5 linked regions of the Xenopus tropicalis genome follow. The protein of the gene in region 4 interacts with the protein of the main gene of each other region in a biochemical or structural test. Links are inferred from orthologs where the notes say so. Each region holds a gene or a part of one and is shown on either strand. Other genes may lie near its edges.

The links.
Region 1: the proteins of slc9a3r1 (region 4) and ezr form a complex in vitro, tested with the Homo sapiens proteins (2 studies listed by BioGRID and IntAct). The link is inferred for Xenopus tropicalis from reciprocal best matches to the Homo sapiens genes NHERF1 and EZR.
Region 2: the proteins of slc9a3r1 (region 4) and tbc1d10a form a complex in vitro, tested with the Homo sapiens proteins (2 studies listed by BioGRID and IntAct). The link is inferred for Xenopus tropicalis from reciprocal best matches to the Homo sapiens genes NHERF1 and TBC1D10A.
Region 3: the proteins of slc9a3r1 (region 4) and cftr form a complex in vitro, tested with the Homo sapiens proteins (9 studies listed by BioGRID and IntAct, with this or other methods). The link is inferred for Xenopus tropicalis from reciprocal best matches to the Homo sapiens genes NHERF1 and CFTR.
Region 5: the proteins of slc9a3r1 (region 4) and pdgfrb form a complex in vitro, tested with the Homo sapiens proteins (2 studies listed by BioGRID and IntAct, with this or other methods). The link is inferred for Xenopus tropicalis from reciprocal best matches to the Homo sapiens genes NHERF1 and PDGFRB.

The regions. Positions count from the first base shown.
Region 1 is NC_030681.2:64,259,974-64,264,374, forward strand, and holds the start of ezr (ezrin), read right to left. Parts: upstream 2,928-4,401; 5' UTR 2,847-2,927; intron 311-2,846; 5' UTR 239-310; coding exon 227-238; intron 1-226. UniProt on the Homo sapiens protein: Probably involved in connections of major cytoskeletal structures to the plasma membrane. In epithelial cells, required for the formation of microvilli and membrane ruffles on the apical pole. Along with PLEKHG6, required for normal macropinocytosis.
Region 2 is NC_030677.2:144,359,108-144,363,398, reverse strand, and holds the start of tbc1d10a (TBC1 domain family member 10A), read right to left. Parts: upstream 2,903-4,291; 5' UTR 2,876-2,902; coding exon 2,694-2,875; intron 1-2,693.
Region 3 is NC_030679.2:68,543,447-68,547,098, forward strand, and holds part of cftr (cystic fibrosis transmembrane conductance regulator), read left to right. Parts: intron 1-94; coding exon 95-181; intron 182-705; coding exon 706-1,432; intron 1,433-2,132; coding exon 2,133-2,261; intron 2,262-3,652. UniProt on the Homo sapiens protein: Epithelial ion channel that plays an important role in the regulation of epithelial ion and water transport and fluid homeostasis. Mediates the transport of chloride ions across the cell membrane.
Region 4 is NC_030686.2:43,958,929-43,963,298, forward strand, and holds the start of slc9a3r1 (Na(+)/H(+) exchange regulatory cofactor NHE-RF1), read left to right. Parts: upstream 1-1,523; 5' UTR 1,524-1,542; coding exon 1,543-1,839; intron 1,840-4,370. UniProt on the Homo sapiens protein: Scaffold protein that connects plasma membrane proteins with members of the ezrin/moesin/radixin family and thereby helps to link them to the actin cytoskeleton and to regulate their surface expression. Necessary for recycling of internalized ADRB2.
Region 5 is NC_030679.2:21,261,392-21,264,801, reverse strand, and holds the end of pdgfrb (platelet-derived growth factor receptor beta), read right to left. Parts: intron 1,938-3,410; coding exon 1,805-1,937; 3' UTR 616-1,804; downstream 1-615. UniProt on the Homo sapiens protein: Tyrosine-protein kinase that acts as a cell-surface receptor for homodimeric PDGFB and PDGFD and for heterodimers formed by PDGFA and PDGFB, and plays an essential role in the regulation of embryonic development, cell proliferation, survival, differentiation, chemotaxis and migration.

The sequences.
Region 1 (4,401 bases), on a different chromosome or scaffold from region 4:
TGCAATTCACCAAATACTTTTACAACACACATAAAGACCCAAACTGGTCATTTAAAGAAGAACTGGTAATGCCATTTTTCTGCTTTTTAAAGACACTGTTAAATAAGTTTTGGGACATTAGTGATATTGACACAGAAGAAGCTGATTACAACAACTGAACAGTTGATCCTGATTTCAAAATGATTTTTGAAAAATATTAGCACAGACAATAATGAGTCGGACTTACCGGTTTTGGCATTTTCAGTTATGCGTCTACTCCTTTCACCTTGTAGTAATAATGATATAAAGTCTGTCTTGCTTAGCGCCAGTCCTGAAAATTGCAAATTGGTAAAGGGGATAAATGATAAAAGTAAGAACTAATTGCCTATAGCCCTAAATGGCTACTGAATCTCTTCCCTGCCTACTTAGATATTCTTCTTAGACCTATGAATCAGTAATAAAATTAGTCATCCAACTAAACCTAAAAAGTTTCAGGTGAAAGAAAGCCCATCTGCAACATGGAAAATACTGTCATTCTCCCAAACCTAAAAACCCAAACATATATTAATGTGGTGCCTCATACAGAAGTATTTAGCTACATGAGAAGGACGTAGGGGTGAGGATGCTGGGGAGAAACAGGGATGTGTTGGAATGCTGTAAACATCTTCCAGCTTTATTTCTGATGAATGCGAGTTGTAATGAACCTGTTAGTTCACTGTTTTTCCACAGACACTTGCTACTGCTGACTGATAATTAAAACAGACAGGAAATTAAGTACACTAATGCTTTAAAAGTTCGATGAGCCATGTATCTCAGAGAAATCTGGTTCTACTACATTTATTTCATAACTGTAACGCTATAATTAGGGCTGAATGAGTCTCTTTATAAATGCAGCCCACCATGTCCTTGTGATGCAATGATTTTCAATAGAGAAGGTGAGTCTAGTATTTAGCAGTGGAAGCTGAATTAGCTGCAGGCGGCCCCACCTTTACCTTGGCTAAGCTTATAACTTGTTCTCCAAGTTTGTACAACTTCCTTTAAAATGTCTTGTGAACTACAAGTCCTCTGTTTTCCCCGGCTCACAAAGCATGATATTCTGTGCCTTGAATGAGGATTTTGTGTGTGATAAATGACTGAAATATGGCATATTAGGGTGTCAATTCTTTGTTGCTTATTGATGTGGCTCATCTGAAATCACATTTGGCATACATGCCTGACCTTTGGTAACTAACTTCTATCTCATCTCAGGATAAAACTTTAGGCTAAGATTAACTAGACTGTACTACATATTGCATGAAACTGAAAAACTGAAAAGCCTTTATGTCAGTGTACACATCATTACCACATTTGTGCTCAAACATTATTCCCAAGAGTTCAACACTAAAATGCCCAAGGGGACATTATTATTATGTAATAATCATAAAATAAAGCTGCCCCTTTATTACCAAGTAAATTCAAACACAAGGATACTGTATATAACGAACAATGTAATATAAGAGTTAATGAATACATATAAAATGCTGCAGGTGTTTCCTTCTCATGTCCAGCTGTATAATACCTGTTGCAGGGACAATAAGGTTTATAGGACAGCCACAATTGGCCCGAGCAGCATCAGCAAATAAATCCTGTGTGTCTCAATGCACAAGCTGAGTTAAAGTGAAAGGGAACTGGCTGTATAACCTTATGTATAATTCATGTAAAGCACTAACAACCATGCTATCTGTGCACACAGATATATATATATTTTTTTTAATCCCTGCCCCTAAAGCTTACTCTAAATTTACAGGGGATACAGTTTCCTATTCCATATCAAAGAACATATCAGGTCCTTAGGAACTCATCTGATTTTCCTGTACTTATGGCACCAGTTCCAGGAACTATGTATATATTATGCAGATTACATTGTGCTTTCAAAAAAAATGTCCCTCAAGCTATTGTTGAACTACAGCACTCAAAAACTAACCCTAGCAGGAGTGAGAACTTTCTAAATTTTCACATAATAGGGTGGTAAATGTTCTTCTTTAAAATAATAACTTCTGATATAAGAAAAGCAAACTGATATGATGGCCCATAACCACGCTATATGGGTTAAATAAAAAAGTGAATGTAGAATGTTGGGCAGCCATTGCCTTATATAAGTTTAATGATTAATAAATGTCTTATATTAAGAGATTTATGAACAGAAGGAAAGCTGGCAAATAAGAACATAACTGCCAATCAATGAACAGAGCTGCAAATCAATGAGAAGACTGACCCAGAATATAGCAGAAATTACGGTACATGATACAGAAATCACAAAATATACCTTCTAATAAAGAAACTAATTCAGGGTGTTTTACTCTGTAATTTGGTAAGTTGCCTTAGTGAGGCAGTCACAGGTAATCATGTTCCTCCATTTACAGCACAACAATGCACAGTCACAGACATGCAGCCAGACTCACAGTCTCGCTCTTATACACACAGAAAGAAGTAGATTCAGTCCCACTCCCTCAATACTGGAGCAGACCCATTTTGTAATACTTTGAAACATTCATTTGACCAGGCTGTGATGAAAAGAAACAAAGTAACAAAGCAGTTACTGCTTTCAAAGACACCTGCAATATTATCAGAAGAGAATCAGCGAACTAGTAGTTTCTGTGTTCTTGAACACTATCATGGGGATAAGGGACATTTGCTTTTGCCCTGCTTAACTGAAAAAACTCCATTACCATTGCCTCCTGTGGACGTCTATGTGAGGAGCTAATCCTGTAAACACCTGTTGCCAGTCTGTTCCCTTTATAATTCACAGAAAACACAGGGTGCTCAGAGAAACTTATCCTAAGCTGTAATACACAAAAATAACCTAGAATCAAGCATGTGCTACTTACTCTTTCCTCCTGTACACAACCAGCTGTACCTTCTTTTTGCTGCTCTCTCCCTGGGCTCTCCTGTTCTCCCCACTGGCTGCAATATGGCTGAACTGCCAACTTTGTCCCACAGGTCCCTCCTTCTTGCCACTCCCTCTCTTGTGAAACTCTCTGCCTACCTGCCTCTCCCCTGCTGCCAGCATATGCACTCGGCTGTTGCCTGAGCTGGGAGGGGGAACATCCTAGAGTAAAGTACAGGAGAAGATATAAATACAACAAGATGCTCTGTATCATAACAGGTATAGAGGGGCGCAAACTGTTAGGGGTTGATTCACTAAAGTGTGATAATGCTTAGCGCATGCTTTTTTGCATTAAAAAGCACATGATAAATAGGTACCGATTCATCAAAGTAATTTCGCATGCATTAAAACGCATATCGCATGCGCAAAAAAACGCTATTTAATGTTATTTACCTTGCATTGCGTTAATTCTCGCATACATATAATACTAACGCATGATTCACAAACACATATGAAGCGTTAAATGTGCTAAATATCGCATTAGTCTGTGCGAAAATTAACACCTACTTGGGGCAGGCAGTACTTAAAGAAAATTGTGGTTCATGAGCTTTTGGCAACACAACATGGACTTTGCAGTGGGATTTTTTCAAGTATGTATTACATATGTTAAATCGTGCACTAATATCGCACGTGGTCATATATATTGTGTGCAGCGGGAAATAATGCACGTGGCGGGAAATAACGCAAGAAAAATGCTCATCGCAAGTTAACGCAAAGAACATCTCGTCTAAATTATGACGCCTGTCCTTTTAGTGAATCATGCATTGTCGCAAAAAATAAGAAGCGATAAAATTTTTAACGCATGCTATATAATTTTAACGCACTTTAGTGAATTGGTCCCATAGTGTGATTCTGTAAAATTTTTATAATATCAAAGTCAATTTTTTTTACAGACAAGCATTCAAAAGCAATTCACAATTCTTGTACGTGTTACTTGGGTGAAAAGTGCTTATCATATGTGGCACTTCAATTGCAAAGTCACAAGAAAAACAAAGTGCCACATATGTGTTCCCACTGGCGATTCACTTTATTTCTGGTTTAAAAACATTTTGGGAAGCTTTGTCACCCATGGTAGCCCAAATTTAATAAATATCCCTGTGTTCCATTAGCTTGAGGGAAACACTTACCAGTGGGAAGAGCTGTTGTAACAAGCACTAGCATGGCTTAGAAGGACCCAACAGGAATATGAAGTGGGCCACAAATAAAATTGCACTGCAATAAATAAAGGGCATGATTACCATAATTTCAGTGTATATACTAGATATATATATATATATATATATATATATATATATATATATATATATATATATATAAGGAAGTGGAGCACACCCTATAAAGGCTCAAATGCCCTGGGTGCTGGCAAAATGAGGAAATATAAGGACAGAGAGCCGCACGCACAAGGATTTAGCAATTAGTGAAAAAATGTATTTGAAAAAATCCAACGTTTCGAGTACTGACTGTACTCTTCTTCAGGGACAAACCACTTTGTCCCT
Region 2 (4,291 bases), on a different chromosome or scaffold from region 4:
CAGTTGCACATGGGCAGATTTCAATTGTTTTGTTTCATGGTTAAAGGAGAATAACCTCAAAATGCCCATCCCTCCCTCACTTATTGGTATTCGCCATGCTTCTTCATAATCACCTAACTTGCAAGGAGGTGTATTTCCCAGTGTTCCTACCTGCCAAGACAGAAATCACATGGGCAGCAAAACTCTGGGAATAGCCCCTTGTGCAATTCAGTTTTGCAAAATGTTTACCGTGTTCCATAATGAAGTGATGGATTTTGGGGTTTAAGGTCCCTCTGCTATCCAGATAATCTGTGCACAAGCCACTACGGAAAACAATGGAACCTCAAGCCTCAGAATACATCACTTTACAACGAAACAAGGTGAGGCAGGTATTGCATTACAGTTGGACCCTAAGGGGTTGAACACCAGCCAGTTATATCTGTGTAAAAAATATCTGTGTATGTATGTATATATATATATATATATATATTTTTTTTTATTTTTATTTTATTTTTTTTTTTTTTGGTAGTTCAGATAGTGTTTATGCACCATTTTTACATCAGCCCAACTGAAGGCGCTCATATAAAAAACATGGTATATTTTTCTTTAATGTAGTTTGTCTTCAATATGAAATATTGGGGTAGCAAAAGTTTTTTGCATTCTATAATTAGATGATACATTTGTTATTTCTCACTATTTGTGCTACTAGTAAAGTCTTAGCCTTTGCTAGTGTTGTGATCTACCAACAAAATAAAACCTACAGGCTAGTATACTCATTTATTCACATGAAAACTAACCCCTTTGCCGGGAAATTTACTTAATGCCATTTCTTTCTGAAACCATCGCCTTTTATGGACATAACAGCACTTAGCACCTTACTGGGAATCACAATAGCCCTAACGACCAGTTCTATGGTTGTTACTGAATACAATATTCATATTGTTTCCCTGCCAAACATATAAGCATTGATTTAATACTTTATTGACAAATGAAACCCCCTAAAGGCACAGACATGCTTTTTTCAACAACCCCCCACAGCAATAGAAGCAAATACTGACTACTAGTTCCACATTTGTTTAACCTATTCACTGGGTTAAGGGAACTAAACTTGCACTATCCCATACTTCCTAATCCCTGAGTGTAGTATAACGATACAAACTTCCTGCCCATTACCATACACAGCAGCTAATTATTTTTTGTTGAACGCCCTGAGACTGCTCACATAATGAAACACAATTAGAATAAATGTTGGACCACCCCCAGCCTGAAGCATGACCTATTTAGCGCTACCCGTACACGAATGGTCACTGCCCCACACTAATCTGTTATTGCCATTTTGCCCCTACACTTATGTCAATGTATTTATGTCAACTGTGCCCCTCTTCCTAAGCACAGATACAAAATGTCATTAACTGCTGACCTTGGTGCCGAGTTAACTATCCAAAAATACACAAACAGTGGTACTGACTGACTGCAACTGACAGTGACACTAACTTCCATCACACTTAAAATAAGGTTTAGCTGCAGAACTTCATTTTTTGCAAACATTCGATACACAATGGCACAATAAACACATGTTTGCAAGGAATGAAGTCCTGCACTTGAAACTTTTTTCAACATATAACATATATTACCCTGATGGTGGGGATAGAGCTATAACAAGACATTAGTATCAGTAAGGTTAATTGTTAGAAATTGCTACCACATGTGACACGTACATTCAGTGGCTTTGATTTCCCCACCAAAACACAGTGGGACCAGCAACAATTTTCCCATGATAAACACAATGGCCTTTTGCAAAGTGGGTGGCACAATATCATAGAGGTTAGCAATGGCCTTAAGTTAGACTGTGGCCAGGTCACTATGTGCAAGGGTTTCCTATGTTTTCTCTCTGCATAAGATTCCTTCTAGAGTTTAAAAACATATAGACAGGTTGTCTCATGATGACACTGACCACAGCATGCTGTAGGAATATGGTAAAGAAATGACAATCTCCATAAAAAGCTCTCTCTCTCTCTGATAAAGTAAATTAACTGCCTTGACTGATGATACCTATGCTGCCCTTATTACTGATAAAATGCAACTTTCGGAAGACACAGTGGCTCAGTTACTCACATACATGCTTGTTCTGACTACTGCCAAACTCAACACATAGTGGTGTGAATACTGCTTCTGATTTTTGCTCAAACACACAGTGGCACTATCTTTTACCCAAAAGCCAGGCAAATGCCAGAAACACAATCAAGCACTGTGGCACTTGTCTCAGAACCCAGTTTAAAGGTCCAAGTATTCTCCCCGCAGTCCACATGACACACGGCAGTGACACATCAGCAGCACCTGAGTAGCAGCACTGTCAGCCCTACAGCACAAACCACCGCCTTCCCACTGACACTTCTCGCCACCTCCCAATGATTCCCACTCCCCTCAGAGCTGACACTTTTCCTATAATCCCAAAGTGTCAGTAAATCGCGTGTAATCCCTCTCTCCAATCCCAGGGACATTCTGGCAGGAACACACGTCCCTGGGCCCTGCTAATGCACATTCCGCCACTGCTACTCTCGCTCATCTTCCAGAAAGCTCCGACCTGTCCAGTTCCACCTGGCTGCATTCATTCACTTTTCTCCCTCCTAGCTATCCCCCCTCAGACAAATACTGATGCCCGAACGCAGTCAGAGACGCAAACAGTCCCTACAGTGGGTTCGCTTGATACTTACGGTTCTCCCTGGGACTCTGGTTTCACAAGAAAGCCGTACCGGTCGGTCCTCCTTTCTGCTACATACCCGTTGATCTCGGAGTCTGAGCCCACAGACTCTAGTTCGGAGTCACTCAGAGTCTCCCTAGTACCTCGTAAACTGGCGGATGGGGACGCGTTGCCCTCCCCGGGGCTCCGCGCCATGTCGGCTCCACCGCTTCAACACCGCGGAGCCATCTGCTCTACCTAATCCCCCCGCCGCGCCTTACACTCGGTTCACCCCACAACAGCAGCAGCCGACACCTCTCGGGCCTCTCTGAGAAACCCAACCTTACAGACTACACGCAGCCAATCAGCAAAGACATCCTCCGACATGAGACCAATCCCGCGAACATCTCTTTCACCGGCCAATCAAAATTTGGAAAATAGTTGCGAGCAAAGTATTCGCTTGGAAAAAGCAAATCCCCAGCCCCTTGGCCACACGGAGCCAATCAGTAATTTGCCCCACCCATTATAGAATCTATGGTTAGGCAAGCTAACCAATGCTCTATTAATCTCTATGGAATGTCTCCTGTCAACAGAAGCTTCCAAACACTGAAAGTCTCAATCAGCCCTGGCCCGCCCAGTGGCGTGTATATCCTGTGGTAGCGCCGCCCACACCTACTTCTTTCAGAGCCCCCATAGCTTTGTGGCCAAGTAAATGCCGCTATGACTTGCTTACTAAGTACTACTAGGTGTTTGTAAGGTATTTGTGATTATTTTGGATTTACAGCTTTTAAGAACCCATTATTGTCTCTTTTACTGTGGGAACTGGAATATCCATCTTACCAGTTTACCCTTTACCTTGCATCTGGGAGTGCTATGCTTTTGCCACAAACTTTTCCTCATCTTAATTCTCTCAAGAATTCAGGGTTCATAAGATTCTCCAATGGCATGATCTATTATAGCTGGGAATATCTGAAATAAATTATTATTACAATAATGGTTTCCTTGCAGCAAAACTAAGTAACAGAACCAACAAAAGTTGGCCTAGGTGTGTTTTTTAAACATAAAATGCTTGCTGCAATATGCCAGTAAAGGTGTCCCTCAGCCAAACGCTCAGATGCAAAGATTGGATTGCTGTGCACTAGATCCTCTCCATACCGAGGTAAGTCACAAATTGGCCAACAAACAAAAGGTTTTGGTACAAACAAAAACTTGGTTTCAGACGCCATATGCAAGCTGCACATGAGGGATCAAGCTTTGGAGGATGACAGTGACAGGAGAAAGCCTACTGCTATGTCCAAAAATGAGATGGTGTACTTGGTGTCAGTCTTGGAAAGAAAAGACTGCAAGGAGGGAGAATATTTCTGGCCTAATACAAGGAAAAATATTATTTTGGACATGGGCATCAAAGGGCTACATAAAAAGTTTGGTGTTACAAGATCTTAAAGGTAATAAAAATATAATGTACTGTTGCCCTGCACTGGTAAAATTGGTGTGTTTGCTACAGTAACCCTACTATAATTTATATAATAAGCTGCTGTGTAGCCAATGGGGGCAGCCATTCAAGCTGGAAAAAAGGAGAAAAGGCACAGGTTACATAGCAGATAACAGATAAGTACTGTAAAATACAATAGT
Region 3 (3,652 bases), on a different chromosome or scaffold from region 4:
ATGCCTAGGGAGTCACACTAGTACACTTATTAGTGTATTACTCTTATTAGTTCTTATGTCCTCCTAACTGTAGCAGTGTTATTTTTCTGTCTAGAGCCGTATACAAAGATGCTGACCTCTACTTGATGGATTCTCCATTCAGTTATTTAGACTTGTTTACAGAAAAAGAAATATTTGAAAGGTATGTAATCAGCTTTATATAAGCACATATAAACAGGATTGATTTGCTTTATGATGATTTAAATTAGTGCTGCATATTGATTAGATGGTTAAAAAATTGGGTGGCACAGAATAAATAATCAGTGCAAAGTATTTTAAAATGCTGAGTAATTGATTTTCATAGAGATAAGAATACTAAAGTTTTCCATTAGCCAGAACTTGCAGTAAGACTTTCCTTTTGCTATTACTGGCTAGAGTAACAGAATGTTGTTTAATAGTTAAATAAAAAAAACAAGCCATTTAGCTATATATATATATATAGTATGTATTTATTATAGAGAAATGTGCTTATTTATCAGCAACTATTGATTTTTACGTTTAAACTGAGACATATCAAAGTTAGTTTTACTTTATCATTGATCAAATATTGTACTTACCTTGTAAACAAGACTGTACCATGGCAAAAATCCAAATTATATATTTGTTTTATCTGGCATATTACTGTTAAGCTAATAATTGGTAATGACGGTTTATTTTGATTTTTAGTTGTGTTTGCAAGCTAATGGCTAATAAAACAAGGATTTTAGTTACATCTAAAGTTGAACAGCTTAAAAAAGCTGACAAAGTGCTGATTTTGCATGAAGGAAGCTGTTATTTCTATGGAACATTTTCTGAACTTCAAGATCAACGTCCTGAGTTCAGCTCTCATCTGACCGGATTTGATCACTTTAATGCAGAAAGAAGAAACTCTATAATAACTGAAACCCTGAGAAGATGCTCCATTGATAGCGATCCAACAGCTGTTAGGAATGAAGTCAAGAATAAGTCATTTAAGCAGGTTGCAGATTTCAGTGAAAAAAGAAAGAACTCTGTTATTAATCCTCGGAAATCCAGCAGAAAATTTTCTATCATGCAAAAAAGTCAGCCACAGATGAGTGGAATAGAAGAGGAAGATATTCCCCCTAATCAAGGAGAACGAAAGCTTTCATTAGTTCCTGAATCAGAACAGGGAGAAGCCAGCCTGCCTAGAAGCAATGTTCTTAATACAGGTCCTACATTTCAAGGCCGCAGGAGACAGTCTGTACTAAATCTAATGACTCGCACCTCTGTTTCTCAAGGTTCCAATGCCTTTGCAACAAGAAATACATCTGTTCGTAAAATGTCTGTAGGTTCTTTCTCCAACTCATCTTTTGAAGTGGATATATATAACAGACGACTTTCACAAGACAGTATTTTGGAAGTTAGTGAAGAAATCAATGAAGAAGATTTGAAGGTAAACTTTTTTGAATATGAAAGCATAGCGTGTAAGGATTCACTGTCAGTTTTAATATTTTCATTCTTAATCAGAATGTTAAATGTGTTGGTGATAAAATACGCACCTGATTAAAAAAAGGCAAATTAAAACTATTTTGTTACTAATGTTAAAAATGCAATAGTACATATGATAAACTTCGTATGGAAGATCAACTTTAGGGATCATAGGTCAAGTTTCAGACCATTATGCACCAGCGTTATCTATATGTGACAGACACATATTTTATTTTTACAATTTTGTAAAAAGTTAATATTTTTTCTCATTCATCTATTCTTAAAAGCTCCTTCTTAGCTTTAGGACCACTTTGGGCCTATAGTCTCAAGGAGAGAGAGAGAGAAGGAGTAGAATGCCAACCTTTTATATTAGAATGAAAAATACCTCAAGATATGTGTAAAGAGTCTTCATAGTTGCTTTCCTCTATTCATTTCCTTCATGGTGCATCTTGTAGTCAGGATAGACCAGTAATATTTAACTGTATTGGCTATAAACTATACCCTCCTACGTTACCCTATCTTATGGGAATTGTAGAAGAGGTACTGGTATTTGGTGCACCCCTAAAGCCCCTTTAACATGTCAAGGAATGCAGGTATTTTCATCCACATTAATGTGCAGTTGGCCTTGACATTGGTTCTAACAGGCTTTGTCTCTCACTTTGCAGGAATGTTTCCTGGATGATACAGACAGCCCATCACCAACTACCACATGGAACACATATATAAGATTCCTTACAGCTCACAAGAATTTCATTTTTATTCTTGTATTTTGTATAGTGATATTTTTAGCTGAGGTAAAAAACATATTTCTGATTTCTAATTTTGAAAAATATTTACAAAAGTCTTTCCTCGCTATTAAAGTGATACTGACAAAAAAGACTACTTTTTCAATTATGAATCTACATAAAAAGTTACCTATAGGTCATGTTGATCATTTTTTGTTGATAGGATTGCTTTTATAAGCCATTGCTACTTGAAGTTCCAAAACCTGACTGTTTTGCCAACCTGACTGTCCCTTCTCAGCCTGTAAGTTATAGCTTCTCCTCATAGAGGAACATGGGGGATCAGATAGAGAATGTAAAAGCTTTAGGAATTACTTTTATGGTGAAATTATAAAGCTCATGCAAAGACAGTTTTATGATGTAAAAAAGGTTTCAGTTCTGGTGTCAGTATCTCTTTAAGGCAATTTATGCAATATATTGAATAGTATCTGTTTTAATATTTAATCTTTCATTACCATTTCTCTCTGGGGAGTGCTAATAAGTAAATTGCTAATCCTACCAATAAAAAGGGGGACTTTTTTTTATAAACCTTTTGTTCTTCTTTTGACTATCTGACAGGGCAACCAAATGATTGGCTAGATTCTTACACTAACCAAGCCCACACTGACCAAGAAGAGATCAGTGACATCAAAGTTTTTTATAGGGTTATAATGTCTTCTACAGCTCTCAGAACTCTAATATGTCCCACAGTCAAGTGTCTACAATGACTACACTTACACCAATGTTTAGATCATCCTCGATATAAAAATATCTTGTTAGAGACAGTTATACGCCTTGGGTTTTTTTTTATGTGACAAAAAAAAAATAAATCTTGAAAATGATACATGTATTTTTGTTAAAGTCAACTGTGCCACAGTTTAAGGGGCTGATTTACTTACCCACGAACGGGTCGAATGGAGTCCGATTGCGTTTTTTTCGTAATGATCGGTACTTTGCGATTTTTTCGTATGTTTTGCGATTTTTTCGGATTCTTTACGAATTTTTCGGATCCAATACGATTTTTGCGTAAAAACGCGAGTTTTCCTATCCATTACGAAAGTTGCGTAAAAAGTTGCGCATTTTGCGTAGCGTTAAAACTTACGCGAAAAATGCGCAACTTTTCGCGTAAGTTTTAACGCTACGCAAATTGCGCAACTTTTTACGCAACTTTCGTAATGGATACGAAAAACTCGCGTTTTTACGCAAAAATCGTATTGGATCCGAAAAATTCGTACAGAATCCGAAAAAATCGCAAAACATACGAAAAAGTCGCAAAATATTCGTTTTCAAGTCGGAACTTTTCCAATTCGGGTCGGATTCGTGGGTTAGTAAATCAGCCCCTTAGTCTTGTGCTAATATCACCACTGTGGGTAGGAATTTGCTATGAGCTGAGATTCTGAGTTTCTGAAAGAGCAAATGCACCT
Region 4 (4,370 bases):
CGGTAATAATATTTGCACTTGGAGACATATTAAAAATTCAGCAGCTCACACAGGCAAAAGGGATCCACAAGTGGGCTTTAATATGGGGCTCGCTACAGGGGTGCTACTCTGGATGCCTGGCTCCCCCATCATTCACAGAACCCACCACCAACCAAACTCATGGGGAACAGGGCATCACAGCTGGGTGGGGGAGGGATTCCCCTATAGTTAACCCACTGGTTCTCCTAGTGCACCCTGACTTGTGTGGTTCTAACCGAGGGGCGTTCTAGGGGGACCCCATGTGCTGCACACCCAGCAGGGTTGGACTGGGGGGTGCAGGGCCCACCGGGGCTCCCGCCCCAGGGGCCCTGCAAGTGCCCCAGCCGCGTCCCCTAACCCCCCCAGGGGCCCCCCTAACCCCCCCGCCTGACGTCCTCCCCGAGCGCGTATAAATTGAACGCGTCAGGGGAGGAACAGTCAGTAGGGGGAGCGCCGGCAAAGGTCGGACTGGGCCCACTAGGGCGGCCCAGTCCGACCCTGGCACCCAGTGTTGGACCAGCCAACCATGATACCAGGAAAACTCCCGCTGGGCCCAGGGGTCAGTGGGCCTTCCTGCTCCTGACCATTTGGCCTGTTTCATGGTCATTCCCTATTTCTGAATGGGAAGAAAGAGAAGGAATAGATGGAAGAATAGATGCTAGCATGTAAATAAAACAGACTAGGAGAATAAAATGGTTGTGAAGAAAGGAGGATATTTTGGAGAATGGGCCCATGGTCTTAGGTTCTCTGGTGGGCCCCTGGGGTCCCAGTGCGCACCTCTGCCGCTTCCGAATTCAGCATATATATTGTGTCATGCACAGCTCTCTAGAATGGCACCCCGGTGAGCAAATAACACTGAGCTAAACAGCACAATAATGGTAGCCTCAGTGAGGGGCAGTGCCTGAGGAGCTGTATGAGGCGAGGGGCAGGTGCATGCCAGGGTACTGGGGAGTTGTACTGCTCCCTCCTCTCACATTCTTTGGATGCCTCAAGCTGCTCATTAATCTCCAGTGCAAAGTCCCCATGCTGAATGCACTAATTGCTCACTATTATAAACACTGCTGCCATCATCAACCCCCCCACCCCTCCCCTCACTGGCACAGCTCCACCCTGCTGCCTGAGGTGCTGCAATAATACTCTATGTTCTGTCATACTCAGTTGGGTCAGTCTATGTACAGGTTTATAGATGCTGCTTGGATGTCAAATGACCCATTAAAGTGGTTTCACTGACAGCAGACATGTAAAGATGCCACCTGTGCCTATGGGCCGTATTATATTCCCCGGGTCACATGACTCGGCGGCACTGATTAAACTTTACTCTGAGGGCCCGAATCCCGCGTAAGCTCATTGGAATAGGCGCGCCTCTCTCTGAACTTTCTCCTCCAATCACGTCCCTCGGCAATACTGTCCCCGCCCTCTTATTGGACATCTCTCATATTTGTCACCGCCGCGCCCTCCCTTTCGCTATATAATCTATAAGCTGGCAGAGCCTGAGTTCAGTCAGGCGCAGAGTAGCGGCTCGATATGGCTTCGGAGCGGGTGTGCGTGTTGGAAAAGGGGGATTCGGGCTACGGGTTTCATCTGCACAGTGAGAAGACCCGGCCGGGCCAGTATGTGAGGCTGGTGGAGCCTGGCTCAGCAGCTGAGAAAGCAGGACTGAGGGCAGGGGACCGGCTCATCCGGGTGTGCGGGGAGGATGTGAGGGAACTCGGGCACCAGCAGGTGGTGAGCAAAATCCGGGCAGCGACTGAGAAACTCACCTTGGAGGTACAGGGAGTAGAGGAGGAGGTGGCCCCCAGCTCCCCTAAAGAAGAAAACAAGGTACTCGGCTCAGAGCGAATTATGGGGGCAGCCTGGCGAGCCCACTGCACCTGGTCACATGACTTGCCTACTGGAGTCCTGCTGATAATAGCTTCCCCTTCAGTATGGGGGGGTCGGGGCAGTTTGCTGGCTTTATACGTAGTATCCTACCCCTGCTAAGTGATGCCATGCAGTGCCAGGGTATATACTGCTCTTGCTAGAGTTTCTAATGCTGAACTTGTGTTTGCATAGTGGATAATGTACCCCCTATTGTAAAATATAAGGATATTATAAGTCAGAGAGGAGTTCCTTATAATATATAGTGACTAAAGTACCCCCTATTGTAACATATAGGGATATTATAAGTCCCTGAGGAGTTCCTTATAATATATAGTGAATAAAGTACCCCCTATTGTAACATATATGGATTTTATAAGCCCCTGAGGAGTTCCTTATAATATATAGTGAATAAAGTACCCCCTATTGTAACATATAGGGATATTATAAGTCACAGAGGGGTTCCTTATAATATATAGTGAATAAAGTCCCCCCTATTGTAACATAGGGATATTATAAGTCACAGAGGGGTTCCTTATAATATATGGTGAATAAAGTACCCCCTATTGTAACATATAGGGATTTTATAAGTCACAGAGGGGTTCCTTATAATATATAGTGAATAATGTACCCCCTATTGGAACATATAGGGATATTATAAGTCACAGAGGAGTTCCTTATATAGTGAATAAAGTACCCCCTATTGTAACATATAGGGATTTTATAAGTCACAGAGGGGTTCCTTATAATATATAGTGAATAAAGTGCCCCCTATTGTAACATATAGGGATATTATAAGTCACAGAGGAGTTCCTTATATAGTGAATAAAGTACCCCCTATTGTAACATATAGGGATTTTATAAGTCACAGAGGGGTTCCTTATAATATATAGTGAATAAAGTGCCCCCTATTGTAACATATAGGGATTTTATAAGTCACAGAGGGGTTCCTTATAATATATAGTGAATAATGTACCCCCTATTGGAACATATAGGGATATTATAAGTCACAGAGGAGTTCCTTATAATATATAGTGAATAATGTACCCCCCTATTGTAAAATATAAGGATATTATAAGTCACAGAGGAGTTCCTTTACTATATAAAAGCATGAGCTGAAGGCTGACTTGTAATATCCTCATATTTTACAACAGGGGGCACTTTATTATAATATCCAAGTTTTAGTGATTTGTGTGACAGAAATTACATCACTGAGCTCTGATTATAACTGATGACATCACTAGGCACCGTTTATAAGGATCCCATAGGGGAGTGATCAAACTGTAAATTATAAAGATATAATCAAAGAGCCATGATTTCCTGTAAAATGGGTTCTTCTACGTGGTGCATAGTGATGTCATCAGTTATCTTTAATTTTAATGATGTAATTTGTCATATGACTCACTGTGTCTATAAAAACCGTACCACTATTATATAATATGATATTAGAAGTCACCATTTGTTCCATGACCAATAGAACGCCTTGTGGTTTTAGACTGGTCATGGAATGCCAACAACCATTGACCTCATGTCCTTATATCAGTGATCCTCAACCAGTGGCTCAGGGGCAACTTGTTGCTCCCCAACCCCTTGGATGTTGCTCCCAGTGGCCTTCAAACAGGGGCTTATTTTTGAATTCCTGGCTTGGGGGCAAGTTTTGGAGGCATAAAAAACAGGTGTACTGCCAAACAGAGCCTCCTGTAAGCTGCCAGTCCATATAGGGGCTACCAAATAGCCAATCACAGCCCTTATTTGGCACCCCTAGGAACAGGTTTCATGCTCGTGTTGCTCCCCAAGTCTTTTTACATTTGAATGTGGCTCACAGGTAAAAAAGGTTTGGGACACCTGCCTTATATGGATCTCTTTAACTTTTAATATCCTTATAATTTACAATTGGGGGTACGCTATTCTCCGTTTAGTGGATCGGCCACACACGGCAGCCAAGCTGATGATGGATGCCGCTGTCATTAGTGGGAAGCAAACTATGGGCCAGAGAGTAATCGGGACCCCACAGGGTATAAGTTCCAGGAAAGGCTTCTAGGAAGGGACTTTATAACAGAGGCTCGGCTGTCTCGGCACAACTATTCTAGATACAAAGTCAGTTGCAGCTCAACAAGCTTTTTGCCCCTGGGCCTTGCCAGCACTAAAGACAGCCCTGGCATGGCACCGCTCCAGTCTGGTGTGGCAGCTTCAGCTGGGTACCTGAGTGCCTCAGTTGCCTGGCATGAATCCTAGACTTGGGTATTTAATTCTTTCTATAGAGAAGGGTATATAGTACCCTATGTGTTGGTGGTGGTGGAGCTGTGCCATTATCCTGGATTGGCATCAATTACCAGCCTATGTACCAATCAGAACCCCCCCCCTCCTCCTCCAAGTAGAACTGACATATGTTTCTGAGTAATGCCCACTTTATCTAGACCAATGATCCCCAACCAGTGGCTTGGGGCAACATGTTGCTCCCCAACCCCTTGGGTGTTGCTCTCAGTGCCCCCAAA
Region 5 (3,410 bases), on a different chromosome or scaffold from region 4:
TTGGTAGCTAAGTTGTAAATGTTTTGAAAGAAAAGAAGTGTAATTGGACCTTGGTAATATTATTATTATTTAAGTAGTGCTTTGATAAAACAGCTGCTAACCCCTACTGCTGACTACCATTTCACTTAAATAGGCGACACTAGTCAACACTAGTCAACTTGCATGGCCATTTAAGCACTTGAAAACATGATGGGCAGTGTTCAAGCACCAGTACTGTGGGACCTACTGTGCTTCTGTTTCAAATTAACAGGAAAAAGACCTTTGGTTGGTAGAAGCTCTTTTCCTATATACAATCTGCCTTGTGTTCCATAGCTCCTAGAGGCAATGGCTGCTCTCTCTATAGCTTCCAGGAACTTGCTAGGACCCACCCATCACTCAAAGTTATTTTAAAATTACTTACAAAAATGTTGTGTACACAGACTCCAAGGGAACCTTGCCTTGAAGATGAGGCTATTGTACATGAAGGGGGTCCAGTAAACAAAGTAAAGTTCTACCAGTCTCCAGGAGCAAGTCTTGTGTTACCCACCAAATAAGAAGCAGTTTTTCCCTGGAAATAAATTTCATAATTTGGCACCTTTGATATTGGTATTTCTAGCTCTGGTATTGGAGTCTTGTATATCTGGCACTAATAATGTATTAACGCATTGTTTTTTGTAAATGGAAACATGAGGGCCAACGTATTTTTTCTTTGTGCATGATTGCCTATTTCTGTATGGCACTGTACTTTATTTTCTTATCAGGCACTGCATTCATAGCAGGGAAATGGGTGCTGCAGCATACACCAGAAATTTAATGATGAGATCCCTCCATGGGTAGGCTGTTGGAGGTGGCGTTAATGAGATATTACATGATTGACTAGCTTTAGGTAAAGATTTTCCAAGCCTGAGACAGCTTAAAATATCAAGTAAAGGTAGAATATCTTTCTATAGGGTCTACCTTTAGTGCTGGAAAAAAAGATGCATAGAAAATATACGTAAATGTATACGTAGCATAGGTTATTCATTAAGCAACATATTTGCCTTTTGGTGGGAAAAAAAACTAAAACGAGTTGCTTAGAAAAAAATAGAGGATAAACCGTTCTACAAGCCGATTTGGGGATAATTGCTGCTCCACCTACTGCTTTGCTTCATTTGACTGCCATTTGGTTGAGGTCCATTATTGTATCAGCGTGGCTGCTCCAATTTATATTCAGTTGGACAGTGTTTCCCTTTTTTTCTGGCTTGTAGGTCGGTTTTGATTAGTCCTTTCTCAGAAATGACTGTATTTTTTAAATTGTTAAGATGGTCCATTTCTTTAATCAGTGTGTGAGAAGCAACAATATCTGTTTAGAGTTGTGCAAGTTGATTGGTTCTAGGAGTTCATCCTCTGTGCAATATTTCCAAGTATTTGCGCAAATACTGAACTTTCCCTTCCCAAGCGTAAGGAGGGCACATGGACTACATGACTCACACATACTGTATACGGCAAGAGCTGATTTCAAAATATTGCACATAGATAAATGTCAAATGTGTGTAGAATATTCTTTTCTTCATAATATAGTTATTTTTGCAGTTTTTTTTAAACAAAAACACTAGTACCTTGCAGTTCATACCTTTTCATATTTACAAAACCATCCTTCCTTCCCAATAAAGGTGCTCTGTAGACATTTGCTGAGCAAGCAATAATATTTCTGTAGATGGTAGCTTTGCTCCAATACAAAGTGCATTTCTTTGGTCTTATCATTTCTGTTTGACTCTTTGGCATAATGCTGAAATACTCTCAATTGTCTTTATCTGAGAATGATCAGTTCAAAAGTATCCACCGGCTACAGAAAACTCTCCTCTATGTCCTGCTGTTGACACTCTTGACATGGGTCATGTTCTAAATCCTGATCTGGCTGCTCCAAGGGGCTGTCACAGGAAATCGTAGATGAAGTATTGCCTTCCTGTAGTGTAGAGCTGGGAAGAAACAATATAAAAAGTATGTTAGCTTTAAAAGTTTTTTAGAAATCTAACCAGGAAAGTACCAAATCCACAGTTTTTGCATTTGCCTTACAGAATCCTTCACAAATGTTTTAGCCAAATTCTGAACCAAGTACAAGTCCAAATTTGTATAGTTGGATTTAAGGAAATTGTTTAAAAATTGCATCAACTGTGAATGGAAAATGATTGTGTTCAGGAGTCCAGAGCTTAATTCATATTGGTGAGAGGGGCATTTGCACTCCTTAGTGCTCTAGCACTTGTTTCCCAGCTAGTTTTAAATCAGCTTTTCAATGTATTTGTGCCTGAAGAAGCAGAGTCATTTCAGAAAATATATTTGTGTTTAATTTTGAAAAAGTAATTGTCACACTTGTGCCAATCTTTTTCATTCTCAATGGAACACTTATGTGTCATGTAAAGCCAGCAAGATATAAGAAAACTTAGAAATGTAAGAAATGTAAAGGAAATAACTTCATAAAAGCAGCCATACACATGATCTATATGTGGGTCTACTTGTCAGATCCCCTACAAGAGGCCACAGTATGGATTCTATATCCATATTATCTAGATATCTGTTGAGGCAACTTCATTTTTAATTTTTTTTTTTTAAATATTTACTTTTTCATTGTGTAACTGTTATGCTTGGAGTTTTAACTGCTATCTGGTTGGTAGGGCCTAAATATCCTAGCCACCAGGCAGCTTTTTTGGAGTCTAAATGTAAGATTAGTAGAAGAGGATCTAACTAGAAATACTGTATAACCAATACAAATAGTACAGCATATTCTACAGTATATGGATAAATTGGAAGCCATGTATTTGACCTGGTATTTGGTTGTTTGGCCAGTGACCCTGACATCTATATAGTATTTTCAGCTGAAGGCCAGAAAAACACAGAATAAGAAGGCAAACTGAACATGAACACATAAGAAAAACAAAACGTAAGACAGTATGAAACGTTTCCTAGAATAAGTCAAACAGAATAAAGGTCTATTTAATGGTACTATGCTAAAAGCCAAGACTAGAGAAGCAATTGTCAAATCCAATAATGTGTTCTTTAATACATTATATTTACATTGTAGAATACAATCATACATTAGAAAATGATGACAGAACTATTTGTTGTAATCAGGAAACTATATTTCCCCTTTTGTGGAGACATGATTCACTGAGGGCTTTAAACATCCCACATGTATACAGGAGTGGTCCCCAACCAGTGGCTCAGGAGCAACATGTTACTCACCACCCCTTGGATGTTGCACCCAGTGGCCTCAAAGCAGGTGCCTATTTTTAAATTTATGGCTTGGAGGCAAGTTTTGGAGGCATTAAGACCATGTATACTGCCAAACAAAACCTCCTGTAGGCTGCCAGTCCACATAGGGGTTACAAATAACCCAACAAAAAGTTGGGGACCCCTGGTATATAATAAGCACATGAGGTATCCTTGCCAAGTAA